3 linked regions of the Pelodiscus sinensis genome follow. The protein of the gene in region 3 purifies or fractionates together with the protein of the main gene of each other region. This does not show direct contact. Links are inferred from orthologs where the notes say so. Each region holds a gene or a part of one and is shown on either strand. Other genes may lie near its edges. The genes, in order: MED13L, MED12L and CDK8.

Region 1 (7,620 bases), on a different chromosome or scaffold from region 3:
AGCTATTTTGTGTTAAATAAAACATATCTGCAAACAGATGTTTAAATGTTATTTGTTATTGCAGAAAAAAATATTCGTGAAATCAATAAGATAGATTTAAGAGACCAAATTTGAAGTGGTATCACCTTATACTGTAGTATACCAAGTATAAAGGTATTTATACATCAGTTTGAATGCAAGCTCACTTTTAAAAGCAAACTCCATAATTGTATTTTTTTTACTTCACTGGCATTATGCATATAATTAAAAAAATATGCTGTTCTATAAAGTTTCTTAGTATAAATTCTTTAATACAAAATTTGAAAATCTAAACTTTGTAATCCATGGTACCTTATACCAAGAATTATATTATCTATGACAGACTTTGACAACGGGGCTACAATTATACCACCTAACACTTACCAAAACATATTAATTTCCTAACCAAAACATGGTGAATAAAGTTAACAGGTTTTTTTATTGGTCTTTTTTTTTAAAAACTAAGATTGACTGAGGTTTTGTTTTTATTTTACTGGTGACAATCTTTCCTGATACATTTGCTTCTCTTTTATTTACTGGTGAGTTTTTCTTAGTAATCAAGACTGGTGTACACAAACCACTGTTACCACTACTATATTTGCGGTATACACTGGTGATATAAAGGCACTGTAAACATTAGCATAAATGCAAGATTAAATAGTGTCATTTAGCTCTGAAAGTGGTTAGAAGTCAATAAAAAGCCAAAGGGGATGGTATTTGTTATAACATACACCCAAAAGCCTCCTACAAGGATCCCAATGTACAAACACATAGCAAAAGAAAACCTCCAACAAGAATATAATTCTTTGGAGATGAAGACAAGGTACCTGATATCAGGAACAAACAAACCAAAGGAACAAAAGGAAAAACTATGTAGCACTTTGAAGACTAACAAGATGGTTTAAGAGGTGATGAGCTTTCATGGGCCAGACCCACTTCCTCATATCACATTATTCCTCCCAGCTCATCTCTGCCTTCTGCCAGCCCCACCTCCAGAGATGAGCTGGGAAGAATAACAGGATCTGAGGAAGTGGGTCTGGACCAGGAAAGCTCATCACCTATTAAACCATCTTGTTAGTCTTTAAAGTGCTACATATTTTTTCCCTTTTGTTTTAGCAAGATCAGACTAACACAGCTACCTCTCTACTACAAACCAAAGGAAAGCATCAAAGGTTGTTCATCATCCGGGAAAGACGGAGGTTTACAGTTAATTACAAAACTATCATTACAAAGGCTAGCAATATGCATAACTTAAAGGTTCCAAGTTAAACATTTTAAAATGAGGGTTTTTTTTAAATTTCACATTCCTTCTCCACCTTTAGAAAAAAGTAAAGCTGTAATCTGTTCTTTTTGGCTGCGGAGGAAGAGTGGTTGGAGGGAAGAAAGAGGTGTTTCGGTCTGGTTTGGTTTTTTAATTTCCTCTCCCACTCTTCTTGTATTACCCTATTGCTCCCCATTTTATCTTCCTAGTTATCGTTCCCCTATAAACAATCCTATACTCCACCTCTTTTGGCTTGGGTTGCTACTGGGGACCCAAGAGTTCTCACCTTTACCTGACTAATGGTTCCTTGCAGCTGTGGCATACAAGAAAGCAAAAAGATCTTTTCAAATAAAATGTCACTAATCCGGATAACAAGTAATCGTTCTTTGTATTCATTTTAAATTAAGATTTAAAATATACAGTTTTTGCAACTGTTCAGTATGAACAACGGATATCATAGCTGCTGTAAGATTAAACCATGCCATCTAAGCACAAAGTGAAAGTTGTCAACCACCAGTGAGATGGAAGGTAACATAGATGCTATCAAGCAACTCAACGTTGCATTTTCAGCTAATGCTTTCCCTTCCAAGGCCAAAAAAAGTCTTTCATCCCTTTCACCCCCATCGGTGCAAGGGAGGCATGGCTGTAAACTCATAACGACAGCTGACGTTCAGACACAAGAAGCCGGAGAGCACGTCCTATAGATAATCACATTGCATGAACTGTTTACTGCTGAAACAGCGTTTGTCATTACGAAAAGGGGGGGGGGGGGCACACGCAGTTTAAGAGGCACAAAGCACTAGGGCATGAAGTGTCAAAGCAGGCAGGGGCGGGGAGAGAAGACTGTTTACCACAGGAGACGGTCTCACATGTGGGCAGCGCAGGCAACGGGATACCCAATCCGTTGCCTTGACATCTCCTATTCAGAGCCATGCAGCTGGGCGCGGGGAAGGCGCGCTCGCCGCAAACGCTGTTAAAGAGCCACATACATAGGGAGCGGAGCCGGGAGGAGGGGCCAGGCGGGGAGCAGCCCCCCCCCCCCCCCGGGTCCCAACTATAAAGCCCCGGCAAGCGGCACCGACCCAACCACGTTGCAACCCGGCTGCTCGAAAGAGCATCGGGGCCCCCTACGTGAGCCCCACGCCGGGCTCGGCCCCTCCGCGCTGCCTGCCCGCGGGGACTCACCAGCGAGAAGAGGTTGGAGTGACAGTCCTCCAGGCTGGCCCCGTTCGCCACCCAGTTCGCCGCCGCGGTCATGATCCTCGGCGAGCCCGGCCGCCAGCGCGGGGCATGTCTGTGGAGACGGGCCGGCGGCTCGGCACAAGCGCCCGGGGCTGCCTCCCGTCACAGGGGCGGCCGCCGCAGCCCTGCCCCGCACACGCGCCAGCCCGAGGAAGGGCCGGGGACCGGCAGGGGGCGCTCCCCGCGCGGGGGGGCCTCGCTCCGCCCCCCCTGCCCGACAATCCGCAACGAGCCGAGCGGGCGGGTCCAGCACCCGCAGCCCAAGCGCGCTCCGGCGCGGGGCTCGCCTCAGGGTGGCGCGGGCAGTGGCGCCGGCGGCTGAGGGGGGGCGCTGTCCCCGCCCCTCGCGGCGGGTGGGTGGTGTTTTCCCGCGGCCGCCGCCTCGTCCGCGCGCCGCAACTGCCGCAGGCCGGACAGCGCGCGCTGCCCCTGCCCGTCCTCGCCGCCCTCCGCGTGGCCCCGCGCGCCAGCAGCGACTCCTCCTCGCGCGCTCGCCTCAGCCGCTCGCCACTCTGACAGCAATGGCGGCCGCCAGACGCAGGGCGCCTCGCCATTGGCCAGCGCCGTACCACGTGGGCAGCTGCGAGCGGCGGGGGAAGCGAGCGCTCCAAGTCTGTCCTCTGTCTCTCCCTACACACACACGCTCCTGCTGCCTCCCAGACGCTCCACAGGGGGCGCACTCGAGCAAGGAATCTGCTGCCCGGGCGAGCTCCTAGCGCCTCCCGACCTAGCTCAGGCGCAGCACCTGGGCTCAGTCTAGACTGCAAGCCTCTTCCCAGAGAGCGTCTAGACTACAAGCACTACTTTCGAAAGAGCGCTCCCAGGCAGTCTGGATGCTCTCTTTCGAAAAAGCACAGTTTTCATTCCACAAGCCTTTCTTGCCACTTTAACCAGAAAGGACACTCTCTAAATGACTTAGCCACCTGCATTCTGCTACAAAGACCTTTTACATCTGCACTTGAAAGGGAATCCTCTGAACTGTCATTCATGTTAAAATTGGACACTTGCCAACAAGGACTTAACAAGACTTTGAACTTTCTCACCCATTACCAAGACAGTTTCCCCAATTATCACCTGTAATACCATTAACTCACAAACATCCCACTCTCCCTACCTTTAATATCAGCAATTCACAGACACTTACCTTCCTTCCTCCCCCTTCCCCCCCCCCCCCCCCCCGCATCCCCCTTCTGTTCTGCAATGTGATTTGTCCTTTTCATATTTGTTCATTTTTTTTAATTGTATCCTTTGGTATATATGGTTGTGACTACTTTCTTCCACTATTTGATCTGAGGAAGTGGGTCTGGCCCACGAAAGCTCATCATCTAATAAACCATCTTGTTAGTCTTTAAAGTGCTACATTGTCCTGCATTTTGTTTCAAAAAAAAGGCGTTCCTCCTCATAAAATGAGGTTTTCCACAGTCAAAAAAACTGCCACGCTCTTTTGTTTTACTTGCAAAAGCATGTGGCAGTAGTCTAGACTTAGGGAAAGTTTTTTTGAAAACAAGCCAGTTTTTTTAAAAAAAACCTGTGGTCTAGACACACAGCTAGTGCCCCCACACTAGTCCTGACTACAGTCAGGGAGAGCTAAGGTGATTCCTTGCTTCAAAGTAGGGCATGAGAGTAAGGCCCAGAGTGCAAAGAGTGCAGGTCATAGAATCATAGAACCATAGAGCTGGTAAAGACCTCAGAAGGTCAAGTCCAGCCCTCTGCCCTAGGCAGGACCAATCCCAACTAAATTGACCCAGCCAGGGCTTTGTCAAGCTGAGACTTAAACACCTCTAGGGATGGAGACTCAACTACTTCCCTAGGTAACCCATCCCAGTGCTTCACCACCCTCCTGTTTTTCCTAATATCCAACCTGGACCTCTCCCACTGCAACTTGAGACCATTGCTCCTTGTTCTGCCATCTATCACTACTGGGAACAGCCTTTCTCCATCCTCTTTGGAACCTCCCTTCAGGAAGTTGAAGGCTGCTATCAAATCCCCCCTCACGCTTCACTTCTGCAGACTAAACAGACCCAACTCCCTCAGCCTCTCCTCATAAGTCATATGCTCCAACCCCTAATCATTTTGGTTGTCCTCCGCTGGACCCTCTCCAATGTGTCCACATCCTTTTTGTAGGATGCCTTTAGCTGTGCCTCTTACCCTTATATAGGGTATTAATGATGATGGTACTAGAAGATATACACCTATGTTACTGCTCTGTTTTTGGAAGTAATAGTTACAGCAGGGGTGGCCAATAATGTTTGATGGGGGAGGAGGGCACTCCAAGAATTTGGGAACTGTTTGAGGGCTGCATTCTTCCATGATATTAATGGAGGAGGTGTGGGGTCTGGGATGGATGGTTACATGGCACTCTCCGACACACAAAAATGTCACATTGCTCCTCACTTTTCACCTATGATGTGACAGAAAAAAATCGTAATTTTTATTTTTGTTGTACATTGGAGAGAAATGCAAAAGGGAGCTTGTAGTAAGGGAGGGAGTTTGGATGAAGGAGGCTGTTGTGACCTGGGGCAGTGGACTGGGGTACAGGGGGTTGGATTGTGACCTAGGGCAGGGAATTGGGATACAGGAGGAAGCGCAGGAATTTGGGTTGTGAGATAGGGCAGGAGGGGACTGTGATCTGGGGCAGGGGATTGGGGTGCCTAATCTGGGAGGGGGTATGGGTGCGGGAGATGGGAAGAGGATTTAGTTATGCAGAGTAGGATGGCAAGAGTTGGGGACAGAGGTTGGGGAATGAAGGGGCTGGGGTGCCAGAGGCAGGCTTTGGCTAGGAGACTTACTAGCCAGCAGACCATTTCTGAATTAGCCTCCCTGCCTGCCCCACCCCAACACAGGCTGCAGCCATGTGCTCTGTGAATAACTATGAGCCCCTTGTTCTTTGTGGCTGCCTGTTATTAAAACCAGTTTCTGGCCAAAAGTCAGCCAATGGGATTGTGCTGGGGTCACAAGCAGCTCCTAAAGCTGCCTTCCCCTCCCTTCTGGGCTCAGTTTTTAAAGTAAAACTGCCCCGCAGCCACGTGTCTGAGCAGCATGCAGGTGGGGCAAGGCAAGCAGAGAGCCTGTGTGGGGCTCACTGCAGCATCCGTGAGCCAAATCCAGTGGTTTGGCAGATCAAATCCAGCCCACGCGCTGTATTTTGCCCAGGTCTGAGCTATAGTCAGCTGTATTTTAATCCTTCCCCATCACACACTCTTAGGGGCAACAAAGGGAACAGTCAGCAAACAGCCTTCCTGAAACTTACTTGCTTCATCCACAAAATGGGGATAATACTTTCTAAGAAATCAACCGTGCTCCATACATGTTTCATCTTATTGCTGATACGCTCAATTTTCTTATTACGTTCTTTTACAGAGAGGGCTTATAAGAGCTGAATCAATCCAAATTCATTGCCTATGGTAGGGCTGGGTAAAATGTGTCCCAGGGCCCAGATCCAGCCCTCCTAACACTGTGATTTACCCCGGACTGTATCTGGCTGCCTTCTATTTCTATCCTGCTGCCCATGCCACCGAATTTCCAGGCTCATGGCTCCCAGTCATGGCGCTACCTTGGCAGGGGACAGAGCTATGAACCTTTAAATAGCTGCAGCAATCCATTAGCCATGAGGCTGGGATTTGGGAGCCCTTTTCTGTGTCTTTATTTCAAAGCCTGTGGCTCCAGACAACTCTGAGGGGAGACTAGTCCGCAGCCCTGCCCCTTCTACTCCAGGCCCCGCCCCTTCTGGGGGCGAGGGGTTAAGCCAGCTCTTGACTACATTGGAAAATTCATTAAGTGGCCCCCTTGCAAAATGTATTGCCCACTCCTGTTCTATGGCATACTGAGGGCATTAGACAGCAGTAGCATTTTTTAAAAAAGAATGAATGGTTACATGGCACCCTCCTACATACAAAAATGTCACATTGCTCCTCACTTTTCACCTGTGATGTGACAGAAAAAAATCGTAATTTTTATTTTTGTTGTACATTGGAGAGAAATAAATATGTCACTTGAACATATATAAATAAATTCAACGTTATTTTATAAATACAAGCTTCTCTGGGTGTCTACATTCACTGAAATAAAAACTGTCAGCTCTGGGAAATGCCAGGTGATCATTTAATATCTTAACTTAAATTTTTTTTTTAATAAACATTTCTCAAGTTCACAATGGCCCTTTGATACAAACACTGATTTGCTCAGGCATAATAGGACTAACTAATTGGATTTCTCATTGGCTACCAGAATATCACAGGTGTGGTATTAGCATTTAAGATGTGTGATTAATTTACATTCACTTAGCAACCCCCATTAAAAACGTAAGTATGTATTGACTGTGCAACAATTTTAAATGATCTGGTTTTCAGTAGGAAAGCTGATTTTTTCAGTCTTGTTTTTGTCAAAGCGTCAAGGAGGAAACTTCTTACATCGCATTTTATTAAGCAATTTACTTTTTTAATTAGTTTCAGTTGTAATGATTAGGATCTATTTTATAACACTAACAGAGAGGAATTCAGTGTATGTCAAGAATGTTTATTCAGAAGAGAACTTCTGCAACAAATCCATAGTTGCATACAGATCACAGACCCACATATGCAACTCTGGGTTTGGAACTTAGACTCCTGGTCTCCAGCAACAAAGGACCAACTCCACCAACAGTAATATTAGAGCTTGCGTCTTTTGTCAATTGCATTTATTAGACAGTTTACATTTTTAAATATTGGTGATTGGTAAATGTAAATCCAAGGTTTGTCCATAGGGTTTTTACCTCACTCAATTATGAGCATTTAAAAATCAGAACTACTACATTTACACTAAGTGAGGGGATGGGGAAGGACAGACTGTCATCTGCTCCAGTTGACTTCTCCCAGATAAAAGGGTCAGACTGTGTGATGGATAAGAGGAGTCTTGGCCAGCAGCCAGTGACCAAATGGGTTAAACTCAGGGAGCTAAGGGTGTTGGCAGGAAGCCAGAGGAACCAATGGAATACTGTGCTGAAATTTAAATTGTAAATGTATACCTTGCCATCTCTCTTTGTGCGGGAGTTCTAAGTTAGGAGCTGGAGGAAGCAAGATGAAATAATCAAACAGAATTACCATACCTACAAGAAATATTTG
Region 2 (7,002 bases), on a different chromosome or scaffold from region 3:
TGTAGAGTCAAAGTGAGATATACACTCTCACCGTGCTATGTGGGATATTTATCCATTACCTACTTGTGCTCCACCTGGCTCCAGCCAAAGCCATTAGTCCTTCCCTACTGTGAACAATACATTCACTTAGAAATTTCTAAAAGAAGGGGGAATTGTGAGGAGATGGGTGTTGCTGTTTCTGTAAAACTGCAGTGGGAAGGCAGATGGGGTGGGGAGTTGGGTTGAAGGTGTGAGTCAGGTTCTCCAGTGAAGGCTGAGAAAGATGAGCTCGAGGGATAACATTGTTCTATAGCACAATCACTCTGTATCTCTGTTCCATTGTTATGTGACATCCACAAGGGGAAGAGACCTACCCTGAGGAGATTTTGTCTCCACTCTCACCACTTGACTTAAGAGACCCATAAGGTGTGCACCTGCTACACAATAAGGGTGTGTCTAAACTACATGGCTCCATCGATGGAGCCACGTAGATTAGGCTGATGGGCAAAGGGAAATGAAGCCATGATTTAAATAATCGTGGCTTCATTTAAATTTAAATGGCTGCCGCGCTGAGCCGACAAACAGCTAATCAGCTGTTTGTCGGCTCAGCGTGCTAGTCTGGACACTCCCACACTGGCCTGAAAGCCCTTTATCGACCTCCCCGTTATGCCTCGTAGGATGAGGTTTACCAGGGAGGTCGATAAAGGGCTTTCATGTCGGCAGGGGAGCATCCAGACTAGCGCGCTGAGCCAACAAACAGCTGATCAGCTGTTTGTCAGCTCAGCGCAGCAGCCATTTAAATTTAAATGAAGCTGCGATTATTTAAATCACGGCTTCATTTCCCTTTGCCGAACAAACAAATCTACATGGCTCCATCGACGGAGCCATGGAGTTTAGACACACCCTAACTGTGGGCTTTCTTCCAGCAGCCACATAATATATTCACTGGAAGAAGGGTCTGTAATGGCTGGTGGACCCTCTCTTCAGCACTGCAAACAACACACCTGCCAGAGGAACAATGTAGCAACCTGCCAAACCCAAAAGGGGGATGTGATACGACAAAGGCCCAGAATGGGGAACACAAAAAAGCATCCATGCAGGAAATTTAAAGTGCTGTGGGATTTCTTCTGTTAGTGCAAATGACTCCCTCTGTAATCTATGCAGCATAATTGTAGCTGTGTCGGTCCCAGGATATTAGAGAGACAAGGTAGATGAGGTAATATCTATTATGGGATCAGCTTCTGTTGCTGAGAAAGACAAACATTTGAGTCATACAGAGCTCTTCTCCAGGTGTGGAAAAGGTGCCCCTAGCAGCACAGCAAAATAAGTGGAACAGGTTATTTGTTATTTGTTTAGCATGAGTAGTTAATGCATATTGTAAGGGCCCATTCATAGTAGAGTGGCCCTTTATCATCAAACAACTACAATGCACACTCAAGGCAGACCCCACCCTGAAAGAAATCTTTCCTGAACCCCAATTTCTGGCCTTCAAACAAGGACTTAACTGCTCCAACTTCATCATCAAAAGCAAGCTCCACTTAGACCAGGATGCAACAACTTAAAGTGGCATCAGAACAACAGATGCAAAACTTGTAGACACAGCTTCACAGCTCCATATGATCAACACTCCCTATAACATACCTTTCAAGGCCCATGTCTACCACAGCACACGAGATAGCTCATGCGGTGCACTATGTGCCCCAATAATGACTATGTAAGTGAAACCAGACAATCACCATGCTCTTGAATGAACTCATGCAGGAAAATAAAAAAGATAACACCCTATCACCTGTGAGTGAACATTTTTCACACAGCGATCACTCTACATTTGACCTATCAGTCCTCATCCTCAAAAGAAACCTGCACAACCAGGGATGCCGGAACAGTTTGTGTAGTGAGGGTGCTGAGAGCCATTAAACCAAACTGTAAACCCAATATATAAGGGAAACCATTTCAAGCCAGAGGGTGTTGCAGCACCCACCACAGTGCCAGCACGTAAATGTATAACACTACCAAAAGATGAGCCTGGGAGCTTAAATTCATTACTCTACTAGACACTAAAGATCAAGGCCAGAATAGAGATGCTGGATTTATGTTTATTACAACAATCTGTGATCTGTTAACCCCTTTTTTGCCCTATGATTCCAAAAATGTTACTCTCTAACTTGAATGGTTTCCTTGGTCCAAGTCTATACTGCCGCCTTACTGCGCTGCATTTTTCTGGCTCAGAGACGTGAAAAATCATAGCCCCTGAGTGCAACAAGTTACACCACTATAAAGTGCCAGCGTAAACAGGCTCCTGGAGCAGTTAGCTTCTCCCCTCGTGGAGGCAGTTTACACAGAGGCTATGTCTAGACTGGCAAGTTTTTCCGCAAAAGCATCTGCTTTTGTGGAAAAACTTGCTAGCTGTCTACACTGGCCACTTGAATTTCTGCAAGAACACTGACTTCCTACTGTCTGAAATCAGTGCTTCTTGCAGAAAAACTATGCTGCTCCTGTTCGGGCAAAAGGGCCAATGTAGACAGCTCAGATTTGTTTTGCGCAAAAAAGCCCTGATCGTGAAAATGGCGATTGGGGTTTTTTTGCGCAAAAGCACGTCTAGATTGGCCATGGATGCTTTTGCGCAAAAGTATCCGTGCCAATCTAAACGTTCTTTTCCGCAAATGCTTTTAACGGAAAACTTTTCCATTAAAAGCATTTGCGGAAAATCATGCCAGTCTAGATGTAGCCAGAGTGCTGGAAGACCTCTCTCCCAGCTCTTGTGCTGTGGCTACACTTTCATGTTTAGGTGATGCCCGGCAGCACTTTAATTTTAGAACTGTAGACAAAACCTTAGAAAACATGCTAACTACTAGTGCTAGTCAATCTGATCCACCTTGCATTTGGCTGCAGTGCTCAGAGTACCTCTCAGACTGGAAGAAGAGCACTGTATGGGCTTGCAAGCTTGTCTCTCATTAACAGAAGTTTAAGATTCTTTATTTCAGAATTACATTATTTTCAACAGTAAAAGTATGTCTGGAGAAGTGACACCAATTTTGTGGAATGTAGACAAGTTTGGGAGGAAGCGAGTAACATCTCTATACAGTGGAGTGCTCTGCAGAGGTTTCTTTTTCCACAATAACTGTGAGCATGTCTCCAGCACTCCCCTTCATGCAGCCACCAAGCACATAGGAATTAAGAAAGCAGTTAGATGGTGAGTCATTGTGAGAACTGCCTGACTGTTGCAGAGCCCCTATCCCATCTTCTCCTCATTATTTCTAAGTGGAAGCAGTAGGAAGCAGCAACTTAACAGGCACAGACAAAATTCCTCCAGATTCCCAACTGCCTCCCCTGGCTCAGTCTCAGGCCTCAATTGTGCTCACACCCTACAAGAGCATTTATGGGAGTCACTCAATCCCCTCAAAGCAGTGGGTGTTGGGCCAGAGGATACTTTAGCTTTTAAACCATGTAATAGCAAATAACATTTTAATTAAAACAAAGTTTTGCTTTGTTATGACCCAAGCTCTTAGCCAAGGCTCTACTATGAGCTGATCTACATGTTTTGTTAGTCTTTAGAGTGCTACTAGACTATTTGTTGTTTTTTAATTTTTTCCTGTTACAGACTAACTGGGCTACCTCTCTGAAGCTTTTGAACATCTTAGTTATAAAGTCTTTTAGCTTCAGAGGGGTAGCCCAGTTAGTGTGTATCAGGAAAAACTTAAACAAGTAGTCTAGTAGCACCTTAAAGACTAAATAGTTCAAGAGGGTGCTGCTAGACTATTCAGTTGTTTGTCCAGTTACAGACTAACTGGGCTACACCGCTGACGCTTTTGAACATCTCCGTTATGTGAAGATTAATTCTTTCTCCTTCACTTTGAGATTAATCTAAAATCAGTTTATTTCTGGGCCCCCCTCAGGAGGAAAGATTTTTGCTCTGCCTTGCAGTCTGGTATCCCCCCCCCCCATGCAGTTGGAAGGCATCTCCCTCCTGCTGAGCGACTTGTCTGGGATTTAAAGCGATATAGTTGGAAAAGAAATCGCCAGCGCGGTTTGAAACCCCCTCAGAGCAATTAGCGTAGAGTGTGAGAGAGCCCTGTCAGGGCTGGGCGCGGGGGGGATACCCCGCCCCAAAACGCGTCCCTCCAGCTGGCTGCGCTGCTGTCCCAGGGCACGCACCGCCGCCCCAGCTGCGGGGCACTTGTTCGACCGCAGCCCGGGGGCGATGCTGGTGTGTGTCAGGAGGCAGCCGCATCCAGCCTGCCTCTCGCTCCCCTGCAGGAGAGAGAGAGCGAGCCAGACGGCGCGAGGGAGCCTGTCTGCCAAGTGCTGCTCCCTGGTGCTCAGAGCCTGCTCCGTCTCCAACTCCCATTCATTTTGCCGGCTAACATGAGAGATCATGGCCGCCTTCGGGCTTCTCAGCTATGAGCAGAGACCGCTCAAACGCCCCCGCCTGGGGCCGCCCGACGTCTACCCGCAGGACCCCAAGCAGAAGGAGGTGAGAGCCGGAGCCTTCGGCTGCGCCGGGCGCGGGCTCCGCGGGGCTGGCGAGGGGCAGAAGTTTGCCCGGCGGCCACCTGAAGGGGTGATGGGGGCGGGGGTGGGAAAGGAGCCTGCCGGCGCGGAGCTGCTGCTAGTCTGAGGGGAGCCCCGAGCCGGAGCAGGGATGCCGTCGTGGGGGGCTGCTCCCTGCCTGGGCCTGAGGCCGCCACGGCTGCAGCCACCCCATCCCCTTTCCCAGTGGAGCCTTTTAAACTTTTGAAAAAATGTCGGCTGGCAAGGCGAGGCACCCCCCTGACTTGCATTTTTCTGCGGCGAGGCTGGGGTTCGGGGCTGGGCACCAGGGCAGGCGTAGCTCGCTGGACCTGCGGGAGCAGGAGACCTCCACTTCTCCACTCCCTTGGCAGCCTGGGGACACTGGTTCTGCCGCCGTCTGGGGCAGTAAATCCCCACCCAGAGGAGATGGACAATCATTTGTGACTGACAGAAGCTTGTCTCTGTCCATGGATGCTGGACTGCAATAGGCAAGTACTTTGGCTGTTGGGCAATGCTCAGTAACATCTGCTGGAACAAAAGCTATTTGGCTTCTAACACTCAGGGTACCCCTGGCAGGTAGGCACAGTGCAGTAACCATGGCATTCCGTAGGTAGGATACACTGCAATTATTTTAAAATAATCACTTGTTAAAAGAGTCAGGGTGCTATAATTTGTCATGGGACTTGTTTATTTTTTAACTCACCTGCTTCCCCTCTGTAGTGATTCAGATAAGTGAAAGCTATAGTCACCTGTAAACCATTTTGCCTAGTAACTTTCCTTTCCTTATTGTGACCTCAGCCAAATGGTGGTAATTGCCCTCATAGATATTTTGCATATAATTGAGGGAAGGAGGGGAGAAAACTAGTAAATATTTACCAGAGATGATGACTGAAATGAGATGGGCCCCCTGAATTTGTTAGGGTAAAACTTTCTAAGAAGTACAAGTGTTCATGTCCTCTGTTACAAAGGTTTGGTATCTTATTTTCTAAAAGTGCATTTTAACAAAATCTGCCCCTTATTGTTAATCTAGATTGTAAAATTGCAAATCCCAACATGACAGGTAATTCTTTAGGCAGTGCTTGCTGATGTGTCCATTTGCAGGTAAACCTAATAGAGATCTGAAATTGCAGAAGTAGGGATTTATTCCAATTTCAAAGAGCAACTAGTTGCTTGGCCATCTCAAGTGGGTGACTGGAATTTAATGGTTAGAAACATGTTTTTATAAGTCTGAAGCAGTGGGCTGTGGATGACCTTCAATTCTGAGGTAAGCTGCAGCCAGAGGAATTCAGAAACTTGAAAATGTATTTTCAAAACTTGGTCAGAGGGGGTAGGGGAAGAAGTTACCGTACTTTCTACTCTGAAATACTATCCAAATATTTGACCATGATCTTTACGAGGCAGTTGTCTTTGATAATATAGCAAAATGTATCTAACATTACGGCTAATCTCTATATTTTGGACTTGGGAGAGTAATTCAGGGCTAGCAGTGTGTTTGAATTGGTGCTTCTTTGTAAACTCTGACAGTCAGTTACACTATCAGTATATCTGCTTCCTGTACATTTTCCCCTTTGGCCAAGGAGATTTCCCCATCTCAGTTTTGTATTTCTTTTACACTCAAAGCTCCTACTTTAAGCAGTTTATGCCTCTAGCAGAAAGTCTTGAGGTTTGATCCAAAGCCCATTCAGTGAGATTCTCATTTTTTCTATGTACTTCATTGGGCTTTGGATCAGGCTCAAAGCCCCTTGTGTGGTATGGAGGCCACACACATCCATTCGCTGCTATTCTTCTCATTAGTAGCTGATTATACAGTTTCTATCACATTTCCAACTCCCCCCGCCCTTTCCCCCACATGTTTTTTGGTGAGTTCAGCGCTTATTAAAGTTGTGAGCCTGAGTCCTAGAGAATGAAGCTGTCTAGTTATCTACACACCTAGTATAGAATGGGCTGCAGCAGTGCAAGATTCTCCAGATCATCAGATTATCATGGCCCATCCAGTCTTTCGTTTCTTTGCAGAGACAACCAGCAAGGATGCCAGGGGCTACTAATTTTGATGGTGGATTGTGAACATGGACACATCTACTATGCATTAGACTTAAGCCATCAACTGATTGATATAGGCCAAACAGTAACAGTCATTATCAGTTAGTAACTACTTCTGATCCCTGCTGGCTTCAGATGGATGTGGGCTAGTGATTTATATTGAAGCTCCATTTTCTATCTTATTAACAATCCTTTGAACCCTTGAGGATTCTCTTCCTTCTTTCTTCCAGTCCCTCTCTTCCACCCTCCATGTAGCCCCTCTTATCATATTTATAAATAAAATTCCAGTTTACTATAATGTGACATTATATATTTTGACTAAATTTATGGAACTGCATTTGGATTAAGCTGTTATGTATACAGATCAACTTTTAGCTCAGGAATGCTATATGTTTTTAGTTAGAAAGTGTAGTGATTCTTGAAGATACATTTTATACGTATCTAGTCCGTTACAATAAGAATGATAGTGGC
Region 3 (7,767 bases):
AGTATCCTAACTTCTGATCTTGTCCTGCCACTTAATGAAGACAACAAATTAAAAAAAAATCCCAATCTTGTGTTCTTCAGCTTGTATTAATACTTCTGTTTCATTGCTATTCATTGGATATGTAACCATGGTTCTGTAAATAAAATCAAGCCCATCAATAATCCCATCCAATTCAGTGTGCCTACTTATGTGTAAGCTGAAGCACATACATATGGTCTTATAGGATGTGGGCCCAAGACTTTGTCAATAGCACTGACTTAAAAGTAAACATTCTTCTACAAAGGAATTTTATCACACAGTTAGAGGGAGACTGCTGAACTGAAATTCATTTACAAGTTTGATACTAGAAAAACTGTAAAAACAACATAGTGTAGTAGCACCTTAAAGACTAACAAAACATGTAGATGGTATCATGAGCTTTTGTGGGCATAACCCATTTCTTCAGATGACTAGAGGGTTATGCCCATGAAAACTCATGATACCATCTATGGCTATGTCTATACCCGCGGCTTCTTGCGCAAGTACGGCCATTCTTGCGCAAGAATCTGCAGAGCGTCCACACTGCCTGCCCGCTCTTGCGCAAGGAGCCCTCTCTTACCACACCATACTGTAAATTTCCTTGCGCAAGAGTTACGCTTTTTTTTCCCCAGGTGTAAGCCCTCTTGTGCAGGAGCTCTTGCGCAAGAGGGCAGTGTGGACGCTCGGCAGGGATTTCTTGCGCAAGAAAGCCCTATGGCTAAAATGGCCATCAGAGCTTTCTTGCACAAGAGAGCGTCCACACTGCCATGGGAGCTCTTGCGCAAAAGCGCAGCTCGCACATGGCAGTGTGGACATTTTCTTGCACAAAACTGCTTGCACAAGAACCCTTGCGCAAGATGTTCTTGCACAAGAAACAGCAAGTGTAGACATAGCCTACAGGTTTTGTTAGTCTTTAAGGTGCTACTAGACAATTAGTTGTTTTGTAAGTTTTTCTAGTATTAAAGAAAAACAGAAATACTGGACATTTAACATGTCCTGTATTTTTTTATTTTATTTTTTTTACTAGACGGGGGCCAGAAATAATGGACTGCCCGGGCAAAAAACGGACACCTGGCAACCCTAGCAGTGTAGACATAGCCGGTGATTTCCCCATCTGCCTGACATGGCCTTAAAGTTGAGCAGCAGTGCTTTTTTAAAGCAATGTCACAGAGTTTACCAAGTGTGGCACTGCAGTTGCTTCCTGCTTCAGTACTGACTTAACTCCCCACAATCCAAAAGGAGGAGACAAAAGCCCCCACCTAGGGTCCACTTTAGTTGAGTCTACAACTGTGTTCCTCCTCTCTGCTTTTCTTGTTCTGTAAAGACTGCAAAATACAGAGGAAATAATTCTCATATTAAATATTCTCATGCTAAAGGTTGCGGCATGGTTGGCTGTCCAAGGAGTTATTTGCTCTATAATTAAGCACATACTTTCCTTCAGACTTTTCATATCCAGTACTACTACAATTCAGATCTTTCTTTGTTTAATGTCCTATTCCAGCAGTTAGTATGTGCAGGTTGTTAGAGCTCAGCCAGGCTCCCTTCTATGCTCCAAAACTTTTGCTTGTAAATATAATTCCTTACATTCAGGAGCCTTTAATGATGACAGTCTCCTGCGACTTCCCTGCTCTCAGAACAGAAACTGTTCACTTTGGTACCTGTCTCCACTGTTGTACTAAATTCCATGATCAGTCACTTCTAGTTGATAACTATGGCTTTATTTCAAGCAAGGTAAAAGGAAGAGATTTATAAAGGGAGTGTGGGGATGAAAAGCACAGCACAAGCATGGAGTAAAAATCTTGGCAAGGGGGATATGAAGTAAGAAAAGGATGGGAGCAGGAGAAGAGGTTTGAAGCCCTAAATTGAGCAAAATAATTAAGCACTGTATTCAATGCTTTGCTGAATTATGTATGAATGACAGCATGGAGGAGAGAAGACAAGGAAACAAGCAATAGAAAATAAACTTTTATCACTCTAGAGAAGCAGCACTGTCCCCAGGAAAAAAATTAGATATTGAGTTTGAGGAGTAGAAGGTGAAGGCATAGCAAGCTCTTTCTTTAAAAATGGAGCTTAAAAACTGGTTGTCTTTTTTTATTTTGGTCATTGTTAGAACTTTTGTGATACTTGGCAGATTTCTGAAATAAATAGAAAAATGTCTTTTCCATTAAATATAGGTATTGAAATAAAAATGAAAGGAGATCCTGAAATGTCAGCAAGATTAAGATAGTCTCTCTAATTTAACTCTCTATAGGTATCATTAGCTCCATTTTACAGATAGGAGTATGAAGCACTGGGATGAAGGACTTGCCCATGGCCATCCAGCAGGCCTAGGAACAGTGTTCAGCGTCCTCGGGCGCATCTACAAGTACCCTAAACTCAAAATAAGGTACCCAATTTGTGCTATGCAAATTGTGTATCTTATTTAGAATCCAATTTGAAATTTGGTGCTTCTACACAGCACATTATTTCCAAATTTGGAGCTATGTTGAGCTATCCCTTATCCCTTGTGCAGCGAAGTTTACCGGGAGGGCAAAATAGCTTGCCTGTTATTTTGAAAAATATTTTGAAATAACGGGCAGCTTGTGTAGATGTGGGGTAACTATTTTGGGATACTTCTGGTATCCCAAAATAGCCGTGCAGTGCACCCCTAGTCTGGTGTATTGTTCACTAGCAAATATAACAGTAATACTGACAGGGCAATTTAAATATAAATATTCCTTCCTGCAAGAGAAACATATGCAGAAAGATATAAGAAGAGCTTCTAAACATTCTGACAAAATGATTAAAAACCAAAAGAGAAAGTACACGTGTGTTTTTAATGTGGTTTTGACTCCTGAGATGATTGGCTAATCATGAAAGCTTTTTAGATTTAGTGTAAATATCTAGAACATAGTACAGATTCCCAGAACTCTATTCTTGATTCTATATTTTTGTGTGTTTATATCCTTCCGTAATAAGCATTTTTAGGCCACGTCTACACAAACTTACATCAGTATAAATACACACCCTGAGCAATGTAGTTATATTGACTTAATCCATGACATAGATAATGCTTTGTCAGCGTCTCCCATGGATGTACCTAACACTTCATTTGGAGGTGGACTAACTGCTGATGGGAGCTCTCCTGTTGAAGTAGTAGTCGCTTCACTAAACGGCTATACCAGTGCCCCTGCAGCTTTTAAAGTGTAAAGCTGGCCTAACTCTTGACTCCTTTTATGGCTCTCTAGTTTTCAGAAACCCATCTTTATGCTTGGATAACTTAGCACATGGCTTTAGCCCCTAACATTACAGATTCAATCCCTTCTGTTGAGGACCAGGGCTTATCAGCCTTACACATACGTGACCAGTAGACATGCCAGAAAAGTGGCTGGTTTGGTGCTAGTGCTAGGGTTGCCAGATGGTTTCAACAAAAATACTGGACACACTTAACATTACATCACAATCTATATTACATCTTATTTTGAAAATACCGGACATTTATATTTTCTCAATTTGTTTCCAGAACAGAAAGCTCAAATACTAGACTGTCTGGTTCAAAACTGGACACCTGGGAACCCTAGGTAGTGCCTATTAGGATGTTAAAGGTTACCCAAGAATCATTACACTTACAGTCATACTTACTCTGTTAACAAACCAGTTAACTAGAGGGCTGGGTTGGGGACAGAGTCCTCTCCTCCCTGCTGTAGCCCAGCCAGCAAGGGCCCACTAGGTGGAAGCAGTCCCCTACCTGCAGTTCAGCAGGACCCTGTCTGGAGCAACCCCCAGGGCATGGAAGGATGCTGGCTGGAACAATCCCCCGCCTGTGGCATGGCAGAACCACAGCTGGCTGGAGCACTCCCACTCCTGCCAAGAGAGGGCCAGGCTGGAGGCAGCACTCTGTCCTCAGCAGGCTGACCCCAATTAACCAGTTAAACAATTAAAATTCTATCCTTTAATCAGTTCACTTTTTAAATGAGTATTTACATCCCTAGTGCCTATTTGCCAAATTCTGATATAATTACTGAATTTATGAAGCACCTACAAACAAATCTACTGCCTTCCATGGGATTATGTGTGAGGTAAATTACTATTTAGCATAATTACGGGAATCAGGGAGTGGCCCTTCATTAGGTAAAAATGCACAGATTTACCGCAAAGCATACAGTTGCCTTTCTTGGTTGAAACTATAGAATCTGTGGTCCAAATTTACGCATGCATTAACACATAGGGCTTGTCCTCACTAAAAGATTAGGTCATGTTAGACCACAATTTGAGGAATTGTATGAACAAAAGTGATGTTAAATGTGACTTTATGGTTAATACTGGCAGGGACTGCCTTATTTTAAATCTTATCAGCTCGTCTGGGGTAGATGCAACTTCAATCATTTGTTAACCCCCTTCCAAACTATAGTTCCCAGAATGCAGCAACCCCAGCATGCACGCAATAAGCCCCTAGCGCCACCCAGCGCTCTGCCTTGGCGCCATTCCGTTCCAATGAGCGCGCCTTCAACCGCCCCCAGACTACAACTCCCAGCCTGCAACGCTCCAACATTAGCTCAGCTCAGACTACAACTCCCAGCATGCAAAGCGGGGCCCTTTACCGAAGCCTGTACTACAACTCCCATCATGCAACGCTCCTGCGCCGGCCCCCGGTGGCGCAATGCATGCCGGTCCGGGAGGTGGACTGGGCGCTCTCAGCCGGCTAGATTCCACGTGGTGTTTTAGTCGCTGCTGCTGGGGAGGTGTCGCGGTGAGAGCGGCTTGCGACGCTTTTTCAACAGTGCAGTGAAGCGGGGCTGCCGTATTCCAGGTGCAATACCGGCTGTTGTGCCGTTGTCTGGCTGCGGCGGGCAGGGAGCGGCAGGAGACGGGGTGAGAGAGGAAGGGGGCAGCCCCCGCGCTCGTCGGCTTCCCCCTGGATGGTCCGTGTCGCTGGTGCGGGGCCTCCTCCTCCCTGGTCCCTGCGGTGTCCGGAGGCGCGGCGGGCTGTGGGTCGCGGCGGCGGGCGCTGAAGATGGACTATGACTTCAAGGTGAAGCTGACTGGGGAGCGGGAGCGGGTGGAGGACCTGTTCGAGTACGAGGGCTGCAAGGTGGGGAGAGGCACCTACGGGCACGTCTACAAAGCCAAGCGGAAAGACGGGTGAGTGTTGGCCCCGGCCCCGTGCTGCCCCTGGTTCGTGTTTGCCGCCCGCTTCCTGCCCCATTCCTGCTGCTTCCCTGCCCCCTGGCACCCTGCGTCTGCATCCTACCCCGTCTCTGCTGTGCTGCGATATTGCACCCGTCTGTGCCCTGCCCCCTCTTTGATGCTGTATTGTCCCTCGCCACCTCCCGTGTGTCTGCCCCCTCCCACCGTCCCTCTTGCCTCATTGTCCCCTGTCACTTCCCTTGTGTCTGTGCCTTGCTCCCTACTAGCTATCGCATCCCTCCCCCATCACCTGTGCCCTGCTTTATGGGACCCCCATGTTCCTGTGTGCTGGCCAAGTTCCACATAGCTTTTCTGTCCCCATTTCATTGGATCCAGATCCAGCTTCCTGAATGGTGTCCTCCATACGCTGCTCCCACTCTTCCACTATCATGCTTTATCCTTGTATACCCATTTCTCCATTCCATGCTGCTTTGCTGTCCCACTTATATTGTTCCCTGAGCTGATATTGACTGGTGACTGTCATATCCCAATAGCCCTCTGTTTGTGTATTCTATCCCCTCTTCTGTGCCTTGCACCCATTTTTATTGTTTCCCCTTGCTCTGTCCCTCTGCTGCTATATCTCTTTCCTTTAGCCTTAACCATCTCATTGTCCCTTACTCCGTTCCTAACAATCTAACAATGACGGTGGAGATAAACAGTCACAGATGAAAATACACTTTCTCCTAACCATTTGGCTGGTGTCTTGTTGGTACTGGCAGATTTTGAGGGGGAAAATTTTCTTTGGCTGAAAAAAATCCATATAACTTGGAGATCTTTACTTCTGGACAAATGGCTGTATGCTAGAAAAGCCTCAGCCTCCATCATCTATTTTGCAGGGTTGGATTTAATTTTCATGGTGGGTTTTCTGATTTATTATTGCTAGTCACCATTTTGAATGTTCTTGCTGGTTGATCCTATGACTGAAATCTTAGTCTTGAAGGAGTTTGTACTGGTTGCACCTATGACTGAAATCTTAGTCTTGAAAGAGAAGCATTTTTGAAGATAATCTTTTTTATGGCCAATTCATAGTACGGTTTTTGGGAGATGGAGGTATAGGAACATAGCTGTCTGTAAAAATGTACTGAAAAATACGTATGTCATTTGGATTTATTATTCCATAGCAAAACATCACTTTTTCAACAGCACAGCAGTGGGAAGCAGGAGATCTGGGAAAATGCAGAGCTTAGTGTTGTCAGTTTTTCTAAATTTTAGCCATGTTTGGGTTGTTCCCTTTCATCTTAAATCTCATCTTTTTTATTTTTTCCTTCCCTCCCTCCAGCCCCTTGGGATAACTTCATTAGTCTGTTACTGATAATTTTCCCCATGCATATTAGGATGGTACATTTCAACCATTTAAAATGGCAGTGTTTTTATAGTCAATAAACTAAAAATTTTGCTTGCCCCAGTTATCGGTGAAAATTTTATTAGTCTTGGTTTTATGTACTTGCATCCACGTGTACATGCTAATATCATTATTACATAGAGAACTCGGTATAAGGGAAATGGCTCACATTTAAACGTTACATATTAAAAAGGCTATTAGGCATGCTTATAGTGACGCTGGCATAATTATTACAGTATATATTTTGTTTGCTGCTGAGGGCCAGCTAATACGTTGGTTATTTTTTTAAAATTAAATATTACACCCAAAAATAATACTCCTTCCTGGACTTTGGAAATAAGAGTTAGGAGGAACAGATTGTGTTTCTGATCCTCTGTGCATTCGTTTAATGTAACTTAAGGTGAGTAATTGTTGACTTCAGTAAAGTTAAACATTAGAGTTTAGGAATACATGATTAAAATGTTACCATTAAGATAATCTGGAAACATTTAAATCCAGAAACAATGTAAAATTTGGACAGTGTTAGTGGAAATATAGATGACAAATACTTAACAACATTTTTATGCAGAGCTGTTCCAATGTTTTGGATGTGTATTGTTTAGCAAATATTTCTCAAGTTGGTGTGTTCTTTCATCAATATTTTCAAAAGGTATGCTGATCTGTGGTCTCAAGAACAGAGCCCTAGGTGTTGAACAGTGTTCCCTCTAATCTCTCCTATCTTTGAATGGGTTGAATTGGGGGGAGGAGGGGCAATTGAAATTTTATGTGCAACACCACTATTGAAGTATTTTGTGGATGTGCACCACCAATATGCAAACAAAATGCATGCATGCATGCATATATACAGGGCTCGACAATTAGGTCAATCTACTCACCCGTGGCGAGTAGATTTTAGCTTGGCACAGTGCTGCAGCACGATTCTCAAGCCTGCATATATATATATATATATGCAGGGCTTGAGAAGCGGCGGCAAGCCCTGCTCGCCAGCCATGCCATTTGGCATGCTGTGCATGCGCTAATCGCGCTGCTGTGCATGCGCTAATCGCGCTGCAGCGCTGTGCCAGGCTAAAATCTACTTGCCACGGAGTAAATATATATATGGAGTAAACGCTTATTAAGTTTGCAGATGATACCAAGCTGGGAGGGGTTGCGACTGCTCTGGAGGAAAGGGTCATAATTCAAAATGACCCGGACAAATTGGAGAAATTGTCTGAGGTAAACAGGATGAAGTTTAATAAAGA

The links.
Region 1: the proteins of CDK8 (region 3) and MED13L purify together in Homo sapiens (affinity purification with mass spectrometry; 6 studies listed by BioGRID and IntAct, counting the BioPlex papers as one, with this or other methods). This does not show direct contact. The link is inferred for Pelodiscus sinensis from reciprocal best matches to the Homo sapiens genes CDK8 and MED13L.
Region 2: the proteins of CDK8 (region 3) and MED12L purify together in Homo sapiens (affinity purification with mass spectrometry; 3 studies listed by BioGRID and IntAct, counting the BioPlex papers as one, with this or other methods). This does not show direct contact. The link is inferred for Pelodiscus sinensis from reciprocal best matches to the Homo sapiens genes CDK8 and MED12L.

Annotation. Positions count from the first base shown.
Region 1 is NC_134725.1:12,063,851-12,071,470, reverse strand, and holds the start of MED13L (mediator of RNA polymerase II transcription subunit 13-like), read right to left. Parts: upstream 3,052-7,620; 5' UTR 2,537-3,051; coding exon 2,465-2,536; intron 1-2,464. UniProt on the Homo sapiens protein: Component of the Mediator complex, a coactivator involved in the regulated transcription of nearly all RNA polymerase II-dependent genes.
Region 2 is NC_134720.1:26,769,015-26,776,016, forward strand, and holds the start of MED12L (mediator of RNA polymerase II transcription subunit 12-like protein), read left to right. Parts: upstream 1-3,986; 5' UTR 3,987-4,354; coding exon 4,355-4,453; intron 4,454-7,002. UniProt on the Homo sapiens protein: May be a component of the Mediator complex, a coactivator involved in the regulated transcription of nearly all RNA polymerase II-dependent genes.
Region 3 is NC_134711.1:301,415,444-301,423,210, reverse strand, and holds the start of CDK8 (cyclin-dependent kinase 8), read left to right. Parts: upstream 1-4,664; 5' UTR 4,665-5,011; coding exon 5,012-5,139; intron 5,140-7,767.